Drosophila melanogaster: one gene and its partners. The protein of the gene in region 2 interacts with the protein of the main gene of each other region in a biochemical or structural test. Each region holds a gene or a part of one and is shown on either strand. Other genes may lie near its edges.

The links.
Region 1: the proteins of rl (region 2) and cic form a complex in vitro, tested with the Drosophila melanogaster proteins (2 studies listed by BioGRID).
Region 3: of the proteins of rl (region 2) and aop, one has a biochemical effect on the other in vitro, tested with the Drosophila melanogaster proteins (one study listed by BioGRID).

The regions. Positions count from the first base shown.
Region 1 is NT_033777.3:20,251,171-20,254,927, forward strand, and holds the start of cic (capicua), read left to right. Parts: upstream 1-1,599; 5' UTR 1,600-2,683; intron 2,684-3,757. UniProt on the Drosophila melanogaster protein: Transcriptional repressor required for the specification of numerous cell types during embryonic development. Required for terminal patterning of early embryos.
Region 2 is NT_033778.4:1,070,319-1,074,075, forward strand, and holds the start of rl (rolled), read left to right. Parts: upstream 1-1,656; 5' UTR 1,657-1,727; exon of another isoform or gene 1,728-1,932; 5' UTR 1,933-1,963; coding exon 1,964-2,121; intron 2,122-3,757. UniProt on the Drosophila melanogaster protein: Serine/threonine kinase which acts as an essential component of the MAP kinase signal transduction pathway to regulate proliferation, differentiation and effect cell fate decisions in various tissues.
Region 3 is NT_033779.5:2,176,722-2,180,478, forward strand, and holds the start of aop (anterior open), read right to left. Parts: upstream 2,034-3,757; 5' UTR 1,126-2,033; intron 1-1,125. UniProt on the Drosophila melanogaster protein: Ets-related protein that functions as a negative regulator of photoreceptor development acting antagonistically to pnt and the proneural signal mediated by RAS. It acts upstream of SINA to inhibit R7 development.

The DNA of each region.
Region 1 (3,757 bases), on a different chromosome or scaffold from region 2:
CAAATGAACCTAATACTTCGGGACCTGCGTATCTCAACTTGCACTTTTCAGCTCATTAAACTGGAAATGCTGCCTCTTCGTTGATGGAGCCAAAATTCGCTCCGAGAGTTTTCTGCTAATAAAAGTCCAAAGTTATGGCAATAATAGCAGCAGCAACAGAAGGTACAACAATTTGTTTTTTGCCGCTGTCGCGTGGGTGCAAACACATTTATATGTTTTCCCACGGTTAACACGACGTATGCGTAATTTATGTCGCTAGACGGCACCAGGTGCACGGATCACATAGCGCGGTTTTCATATTTCCAAAGTTCCGGCGCGAATTTGATGAATGTTTGCACTTTTTACGGCTCCTTCCATATGAGCGGTCTCATTTGAGGATAGTGCATTCATAAATTATCCACTCAAGAAAGTTGAGTTTAATGAGAAGTTTTTAAGCTCAAGCTCAAATGGAGCGGTACTTAAATTAAATGACTATTGTCACACTTAAAATTTGGCTTGCCAATCATTAGCTTTTATTTACTCTGGGGATTATTTTGAACAGCCTTCAACAATGTATTTTGGTTTATTAAATGTTTTAATAGTTGTGAAATTTTCTGGGATGCATATGCCTATGCATATTATGCATATTACGTATTCGTAAAAACTTTTGTTGATACACGTTTGTTTTTAAGTGTTACCTTACCTATTTAAGATTATATAAATCATCTACATTTACTTGGCTTTGATTTTAAAGTTTCCTAAATCTCGACGGAAGGAAAATCAAGACAGACGGAATATATATACCTTACAGTTTCGAAAACACTTTCTTCCACGCCTTTTATCAAATCAAGGACATCTCTCCAAATCTTAAGAACTAATCTCATATGTAACATTTAAACCAAACAGACCATCTTTAAGACCGACAGATGCCTTGATCTTTTTATAAATGCCACATTTCCTAGGAACTGTCCTATTCCATAAAATCGAAATATTAATAAAAAAGAAAGTAACATAAATTGTAAATAATACTATGCTAGTTTTTATTATAATCCAAACAACTGAACAACATTGGACTAAGTTACTACATGTAAATAATGCATTCAAAGAAGATTATCATAAACAACCTACACAGCCGAAGTTCCTGCACACAGTACTATATTATATAAGTAACTTAACTTAAACAATAAAACCTAAAAACAATAATAGCAATATTACACCCCTTTACTCTACAAGAAATGAATATAAATGTGGCAGATATTTTTCAGTGCTACCACAATTTCATAATTTTTAAGAACGTTGGGCATTGCCAGACTGAAGTGTAGAACTGTAGAGGTTCGTGTACTGACTAACTTAACGATAGATTGTACACAAGCCAGTTCATACAATCTTTGTATAAATTCGCAAACCATGCTAAAAGTAAATGTTAAGAAGCAATTACAATTTTTATTTATTTATATATCGCTCTATCACCGAAAAGTTACAACATTTGGTTGCACCCGCTCGCGGCGCCAGTGTAACCGTATCATTCGCCTTTGCCACGCAACTTGTAAGATTTTGCCCAATCCGGCCAACGGTCCCACTTTGGGGGTATTTTCTCAAATGGGGCAAATGGTCTCCAGCAGATTCTCACTTCATGCTCGGAATCGCACGGACGTGTCGCGGATGTCGGAAGGTGGAGCTCCTGTGAATTGCTCTTGTGCCCCGCGCACAAAACCCCAATAATAGCCAAATCGGGCAGCGCCTGCAGGCTTTTGTGTGAATAAAACGGTTTGTGGCGACATTTGTTCGATTTTTAGGTGTCGCAAATTAAATTCGTTTGCAAATACAAGGCACTTACGCACACAAACGCGAGCGCACGCACAAGTGTAGGTGTGAAAACAAGTGAAACAGAGAGCTGGGAAAACAAACTGGGCTGCATAGATACTGGCTAAATATTGGATTAAGCTCGTATAAAGATAATAATAACAACAACAATCAATCGAAAATGCGCGTGCGACAGAGAGGGTGCGAGTGTGAATGAGGAAAAGAGAGCGAGCGCAGCACGCACACAAACACTAACACGCTGACGTCGACGCGCTGTCTGTGCAGAGGAGCAGTGTTGCCAGCCCACAATACTGCTGCCCGAGAATCCCAATTAAATAATTAATAAGTTCGAATCAGAATTGGAGTATCTGAGGCAGGGCTTTTTGCTTTGCTTACTCCTTTTCCCCGATTCGGCTTATTGGCATTGGGCTCTGCTCTATGCTCTGAGTTGGCAACACTGGCCCCCAAATCGAGTGTGGGCAAGAGAGATAGAGAGACATAGAGAGCAATCGCGAGAGAGTCACATGCTAGGCGCTCATTTCAATTTTCCTCAATGAATGAACACTTTTCACGGTTTTCGGTTCGTCGGTTCGCGTTTTCCACAGTCGTGCGTTGTTTTGCTCGTGGAAAAGTTGTAAAGCCCAGCCAGCCATAATCCAACATTTTGTTTGCAGTGCATTTGCAGCGCGGGAGAGCGAGAACCAACGGCTTAGCGAGCAGTTAAATAATTTTTAAAGTGTTTGTGTTTTTAACGTGTAAAACCCGAAAAAGTCTATGCCTTTTGCATAACAAAAACAAGCCGAGCAAATAAAATAAAAGAGAAAAACAGCAATAAACACCCATACACGTAAACATATACGTACAGAGAGAAACGGACGCCTACGTCAATAAGCGAAAAACGGTAAGCGAAATTCTTTTACCCCATGTTGTATGTGCTTGCCAATTGGAAAATTTTGTATTTCCCTTCCCGCTTCCGTTCTCGCCATCTCACTTCCCCAGTCTCTCTCTCTCTCTCTCTTGTTCCCCCTCTTCCGGGCTTGCTCTTACACTTGCTTTTACGTTGTTGGCAAGCAGAGCTTCATTCATTTCCACAACTTGCACACATACACATACCAGCACACCCCCGCTCTCTGGGAATTAGAGAGTTGGCAAGAGAGCGGTGGGTCTCAGTGTGACCGTGTGTATTTGTTGTAGCTGGTCAGGCCACAAAATTTGTATTCAAGAAATTCTATTCATTTGTTAAATAAACCCTAAGCCTCAACATTTAAACATTTGCACATCATATTGTTCATAAAATACAAAAAAGTCGTAACAATAGCTCCTAGAATTAATATGTGCGTGTGTATGTATGCATTCTTTATCATTGATATGTTAAATGTGAAATGTTGAAATTCAAATTAAGCTCTGCCTTTTTGTAAACAAAAACAATGGGGTGAAAATCAGCTACTGAAATTAGCTAACCATTAAAGTTACTGGTTTTGGTGGATTTTATTAGGGAAATCATGATTAGTATATGAAAATTAGTGGACCACAAATGAGTTAATAAAATCATGGTGCACGGGAAACAATATTGCTGTATTAAGATGTTTTTTTTAAATTTTTTTATTGATAGAAAAACTGTCGTCAATCAAATCAATTTAATTTGAACACTGTACCAGCCTCTTTTGCTGTACATTGGTCCCACAGTTGCCAACTGAAGTTAACCGCCCCCACTCCCCTTCATCAAACACACACACAGACGCACTTGCACTCTGACTGGCTGGCCATCGATGTGTGTATGTAATTAGCAACAAAACTCTCGCTGGCAACTGCATCGCATGAGATTTGAGCGATGCGTTGCTTTTGTTATTGCTATTGTTGCGTCTGCCCGGACCAAATGCTCCCTCTCTTTCTCTAGTCGCTCTCTCCCACCCTCTCTACTGCCTAATTTACATTTGAATGTGCGTGAGCGCCCATTTGTTGATAATTATCAGCA
Region 2 (3,757 bases):
TGTCCATAAAACACTTTTCCAGAACGAAATTAGTGAACCGGGGTTAGAGTTTTCTTAAAAGTTTGCATCTCTATATTCCAAAGCGTTTGAAACTAACAAACACAAACTGTAATTTACAAAGTTAAGTTAAGAAATTCGACAGGGACAGATGATCAACCGAAGTTGGACGCTTACTGTGTTCCTCCATATAATTTTACCTCACCATTACTTAATTTAAGAATGTCTTCATTTTTGAAAATAATTGTGTCCAAGGGTAAACCAAAGTTCTTAAGCATTGTTTTCCCTGACAATTAAAATTGAACAAAAGAAAAATGATAAAGGAAATTAAAGTTGAAATTTTTAAAGTAAAGATATATTTGAATTTATTTATGAGTCTTAATAAGTTCTTTCTGTGCTCTCTAAGTCCATTCACGTTGGACCCACTTCTTCTTTAATAGATAATACAAATGAATTATATCAAAATCACTGGTTCCTGCGCAACTTATTGCGCCAACAACGGCAACGACTGACGTCTGGACTGCGGCAGCGCCGACCAAACACAAGTTTTGCAGTCTGACGGCTGTTAAACAAAATCCCAAAACTCCATACACAAACTAAACTAAACTATATACTAAAACTAGACATCAACTGAGTTGGGCATTTTAAACAATGTGCTAGCTTTGCAGTCGCTCTTTGCGGTGCTACACTTGTACCCGCTCCGTCATGCGAGTTAAACTGAAATGTATTCTAAGAATGAAATAAATTGTTAATAAGGAAAAGGTCATGTTATAAAATAAACCTACATTAATTAAAAAAATTAAACCTACACTTATACCTAAAACCATGGTATTTCATTAATTCATAAAATAAATAGCTGTCATAGACATATTTTTCACGATTTCTGTAAACTTATATACTTGGCGTACGTAGCATTTACTTCGGATATCACCTTAAGAGTAACAAATATATTTAAGTACATTCGGATTTTTTAATGTAAAAATATAAAGTTTTTGACATCTGATAGTATTTTGTTTAAAAAGAATGTTCGATCATCAATCATCCTCCGTTGCAACACTGCTGAATTTTCTGTAGTGGGCAAACTACATTTAGTTAGCTGTACATTTGTATATGCTTCTGAGTAGTGAGCTGTTAAGAAATTTTATTATAATATAATAAAAAAGCAATTAAAGGATTTGTTTTCTCTTAATTAAACATTTAATTTCTGCTTTCGTGTTAATATGTATATTCTACATTGGTTTGTAGTCACGTCTTAATGGTGGGAACAGTACTTTTAGTTCCGTTTACGCTGAATTTACATCTGTTAGGTCACACAGCAGAAGATGGCACATGCCTGCTTTCTTGTTTTATTTTAATGGGCAATAATAGCTTAAATTAGGAATATAACACTAAGTCAAAAGGTTTTTATTTCTGCGCTCCCATTGAAAAATGTCCAAAAATATATTTAACCCAACATCAGGTTAATATGTGATGATCAATTTCCTCCTTTAATACCAATTTTTAAATAAAAAAATGTCTTACGCAATGACTGATCATTTTTAAATTATTATATTATTTAATATTAATTGTGGAAATTGTGGCTGCCAAAAGACTGATGTACCTTTTGGGATCCGATTATAATTGGATCGGATAAACATTGACCAGTGTCGTTATCTTAACATATTATTAATGTTTTACGCCGTCGATTTTGATAAATCATATTTACGCATTTGTCTAAAGAGTAAAAAAAAGTTGAGTTTATATATTCATATCTTAAGTTATAGACTTTTGGTTAAATTCATAATAAAGTAAATAAAGATTTTGCACTTATTGCTGTTCACTTAAATAAGATAAAGTGGGACATATTCAGTTGTAAAAGTGTTATTACAATCCACGCATACATACATTGCGAATTTTGCAGATACGGTGTATTTTGTATCATAACATCTTTAGTAGTATTTCAAGTTTTCCAGAAGAAACGTTAGTCATGGAGGAATTTAATTCGAGCGGATCAGTAGTTAATGGTACAGGATCTACGGAAGTTCCTCAATCTAATGCTGAAGTTATAAGGGGACAAATATTTGAAGTTGGTCCTAGGTATATTAAACTCGCCTATATAGGTGAAGGAGCTTATGGCATGGTTGTGTAAGTACCTAATACCTATTTTTATTTTTGAAGCCGTTTTTAATCTACAGTGTTTGCACACCTCTTTCTTGTTGTTCCTTTGTCCATTATTCATAGTTTTTTTTTTATCTTGCGGTTCTCCTTCCGAAATGCAGTAATACTCAGAACCGTGTTCTCTTGATTTTATATCAAGTAATACATTTTGTTCAAGTCCTTTGCTGTAAGTTCGCATACATGGTATTGCTGAATCAATGTTATTTTTCGAAAATGCATTAAATTTATTCACATCAATCATACGCAGTACTAAGCTGTGAAACACTTAACAACGAAATAGTTTCTCAAATTTTTGATTTCTTTCTTTTTCTCTAAACGTGGCTTAGTTTTGCTTTTTCTTTGACAAAATCAATCTTTAAGGGTCGACACAACCGAGTTTGTTTTCATGCAAAAGCCTAAATTGGCCGATGGACTTTATAAATAAAGGAAAGTCAATAGCTTCTGAGTCATATTGCTTGCTTTTAAACGCTGCGCACAAAACTTTCGTTTACCGGTCGATCGGTTGTTCAACGCAATACAATTTCTCGCTAAACTTGGATTTGCTTGTTAAAGTACTCTTTTACTCGGTGCCTTTATACCTTTTTCTAATGCTTTTGGACATAATTAGGGATTATTCATTCATTCATTAAAAGTAAATTTGGAACCTACATTTTCAAAAATAAAAAATCAACACATTTTTTAAAAGTTGCAGTTGCAGTTTTGGGCGGAGAGTGGGCATGGCAACATTTCATTTTTCAGTATTTAAAAATAAAAAATATTTAGTTGAATTATTTTGTTATATTCTTATAAAATATTTAAAAAGCGGACATTTTGTTTTTTTTTTTAGTTTCTTTTAATTTTAAATTATAGTTTTATGTTTTTTGATTAGGTTGGAGTTTTGAGGTGGGTAGCAAATGGGGTTGATTGACTGAAGAGAGCATATTTTGGGGAGGGGTCAGTTCATGTAGTGGGCATTGGTAAGGTTGGTGTGTCCAAGCCTGAGCCTTTTTATTAGGATTTGTGTTTTCTTATTGTGTTATGTAGTGTTGTAGCTTGAAGGATGAGCTCATACCAGGGAAAATTGAGAAAAGTCGTCACAGTTGTAATTTGAGGAGTGTACAAGGGCGTATCTGTGGGCATCTTTAGCTGTTTTGTCGGCGTATTCGTTGGCGGATATGCCGATGTGAGTGGGCATCCATATAAGTTAAATAATTGGGAAGTGGTTGGTGAGAGGGTTTCTTATTGTGGATAGATATTATGAGATGTTGATTGGTATTGGTATTGGTGAGGAAATTTAGGGCGGACAGGAATTCGAAGCCCGGCGGCTAAATTTAATTTTGCTGGCGTTGCTTGTTACGCTATAGCTTATTATTTAATTGGATATCGAGCCATATGTGTGGCTGCATAGTTGCAAACCAATGTATGGCCGTTACGCATCTTGTTATTCTAGTGTCTTTGATATAACATTGGTTGCTGATTTTAGTGTTCTTCTGGACCTTAAACTAAAGTTTTTCAGATCATATTTCGACTATTGTCAATAAGGCAGGGGTGTGCTTGGTTTAATAAAAAGGAGGTCAAAGGAATTAAATGATCATTACAGCACCAAAACCTTATTCATTTCGCT
Region 3 (3,757 bases), on a different chromosome or scaffold from region 2:
CGATTCCGAAAGCCCGGTTCTATAGCATATAGCATATAGCGCAAAGCACACCGATATGCACTCCGATAATTACCGTTTTCATCATTTTTGTGGCGGAAAACTCGGACCTGGCCAATATGATGCAACGGGCATTACGAAAAGCACCCAGGTACCGTAATGTGGAGTGGAATGTGAAAATAGAAGAGGCTATTTTCCAAGTGAATCGATCTTGTTCGTATTGTAGAATGCTAGGGAATCGGTGAAGCGTACCGTGCATACAATGAGAGTCAAGACACTGGGCTTGGGAAGAGAAATTACTATCATATCATATTGTTACTAGACTGAGCTATGAGTATTTGCATATGGTTCTCAACCAACCACAGGTAATAATTAATCACAATCCAACTAGACTGTAAGAAATATCTAATCATATTTGGAAACAAGAAGAACATACAACAAATTATGCGCAACAATCAGATAACAAAACAATAATTAAACTATAAAACCACTCCCAAGATCCCCATAAAATTGTAACTCTTATTATTTAAACAAGCCCCAAATGAAAACGCCACAATCAGATCCTCTGAACAGGCAAATAAATCAACTAAACCTTAGATAAACCGTTGTTGCCGAGTCTTCATCCATCTCATATGAGTGTACTGCGAACCAAATATAGCCCAAGTTATCTGTTTACACGTGTAGATCCGACAAATTGTTGACCTCAACCAGAGACCAAAACTCAGACATTGTAAGACGTCGGGTGGAGCGAAGTGGGGAAGTCATATGCAGCAGATAACCAAAGCCAGATTAAGGTGGAGCAATTATTTATCAGCTGCTCAGACAAGACACTTTTCTGTTTCCATGACCATTGTGACGTAGTTATGGGAAATACATGTACCAAAAGATGGTGTTTTAACCAATTCGTAAAAAAAAGCAACGACGGCAATGGAGTGATACAGGGGTAATGTCTGTAAACACCGATTCTTGCACGATTACGAATATAAAAGAACTCCAGATATAAAAACCATTGTGCTTACATATTGAGAAAAAATGTTTTTATTTTTGACACTCTTTTCTGCTACTATTTTGACAATGGTTAATTTAACAGTTCACAACAAAAAGTATACAAATTATCAAAATTCTCACCTGTTTGCTCCACTGTGCACTGTGGTTACGTACTGTAAGGTGAGTGAGTGAATTTGTCTGTTTGCGTTGGGCTTCGGATTCGATTCTTGAGCTTTTTAGCGACAGAAGCAACGCGGAAGCGGATATGTCCAGATCCCAGAATGCTTTAGCTTTTGCTTCGCTTTCTTGTTTTATTTTTGTTTTTGGTTTTGTTTCTGTTAATTCGATGTTGTTCTTGTTGTTATCTGCTGATGACGAAGAGGGCGTCGCGCCAAGTTGCCATTGTTGTTTGTGTTGCTGTTTCCTTTTGGTGAGGGGCGCCGCGTGGGCGGTGGTTGTGTGCTTTTGGGGCTAATCCAGGCTCTCTGTTTTTGTTTTTGTTTTCGCTTCGTTCTGCGACAAATGCCAGCCGTAAAGCGGAGCAAATGAATAAGAAGAAGGCGAAGTCAAGCGTTTTTACTTCCGCCGCCGCCTCAGCAGCACGCACACACAGGCAGACGCGGGCACACAAACGCACACGCACACTGTAAGACACTCACGCGATGCACTTGCACTCTGGCGTTTTGTTCGTGTATTTGTTGTTGTACTTTGGCATTTCCTCTTTCGTCTTCCTTTTCACTTTTGCTTGCACTTCTTGTTGCGTTGCTTTGCTCTCGCTGATGTTGCTGTTGTTGTTGGCGTTGTTGCTGTCGCTCTTGTTTATTTTTTATTTCCGTTTCGCGCACACACACACCGGGCAATGTAAACACACACCGAGTTAAGAAGAACCGTTTATTTCCTCAACGCCGCGCACGAATTAAATTCTATTAATTGTGAATTAATCAATTTAAAACATATTAGTTTGCCATTTACAGCAGAATGTCTAGTTGCTTTCAGGAGCGACTCTTCTACACGTCCGCCCAGCACGGCAGTTTCTTTTTGACTGCCGATTCGATTCGAACAGGCGGCGAACATGAACAAGTCGGCGCATGCGGAGAGAGAATCGAAAGAGAAAGAGAAGCAAAGAGAGCGACATACAGCAAAAACAATTCAAAAAGAACTGGTGAAGAATACGAAAATAAGATAATTTTTTAAGGAAGTCGCGCTTTGATCCGTATCCGTTTTAGCGTCCAAGATTTATATCTTAAATCGGACCTATATTTTGAGGTACAGTGAAGCTTTGATGCGCCAGTCTTATATGAGTTAAAGTTTTAACGATTGAAAGACACCCCTGAGCTGCTCATTATATTTCAATATTTATAAACAATCTTATATCAGAGCTTGAGAGACTTGCATGCGCCACAAAATTCCAATTCCAATTCCGGAATAATTTCACAATAATCTCAATTAACATACGTATTTTATGTTCGTAATTTTTTAAAATTCCCAGATTCCCCACAATTGCCATAATAATCTCGATTATGTTATTATACTCTGAGAAGTAGGAGTGTGTGCAAAGACCACAAACAAATCATTAGGCGCGTAAACATTTACAGATCCACCATCCACTTCCTTGGCAACGAAAGAAGCAACAGCTCGCAGAGGTAATAATTTAAATAATTTAAAACCCACCAAAGTTTACTACGAAACAACTCAATAGGCAACCGCTGTCTGTGGGCGGCGTCGAATTCGCGTGGGGCGCTCGATTTAGTTGTTAATCAATAGAAGATAAAGTTTAAACAAACGATTCATGCTGATACCAGAAGCATGGGCGCCGAAATACCAAGGGATCGTTCTCTCACTAGATAACATACACACCTATTGTGACTGGAAACTTGAAATGATCGAGCATGCCATACCCATTAGCTGTCAATTGTGACTATTGGCGAGCTTTTTGCACATAAACCATAGATAAGACAATTCCGTGAACTCTAATCAGTGTGCGATAATGCTCTCAAGCATTTGAAATAATTATGAATACGACCCCCTGGCCGAAAATGAAATAAGCGCCACGCGCCTGGGAAAAGCGCTCTATTGTAATACAAAATGTTTGGAGGTGCTAGCTGATAGGTGTTTTCGATCCCATAAATCTTGGATCTTCATGGAAACCAGTTGGCAATCTTTAATTATAAATTGTTGGAACATTTCCGCTCGGCTGCGACGGAAAATCTCTTTGGAAAGGGGGCGGGGCTGGGGTTCCTCGTCAGGTTGCTTGGACGGTCGGTTGGTCGGTCGGTCGGTGGGCCTGAAGATGCGCTCAGTTGCACTGCATCCGCTTTGGGGTCTCCAGTCGCCTCAGTTGGCTAACCAGTTTCTCCCCGAGCAACGAGCAACGTTTACGTTGACATTTCAAGTCAAATGCCCATAAACGGCGACCAGCCGGACGACCCCGCCCACGCCCTGCACGCCCCTGCTCAGTTCCGTGGGTATGCACTGAAAGAAAATCTAGATTAATGGGCATTTAGGTAAGTAATAAATAGTAACATGTATTTTTATGGCTATAAATAGTTTAGCGAGTAAGCCTCGTGATATGAAACATTAAAGAACTTTTAGATTGTGACTCTAATTAAGAAATATAATAGAGATATTTTTTTCAAGTGCTATCTTTTCCGTCGATAGCTGCGATGGCGATGACGACGTTTCCAAGTGATCGCCGCAGCGACGATCACTGGCCCAAATTAGTAGCTTCGGTCATGGTGCGTCGCCCATCGGGAAATTCCAGGGTGAAAGGGTG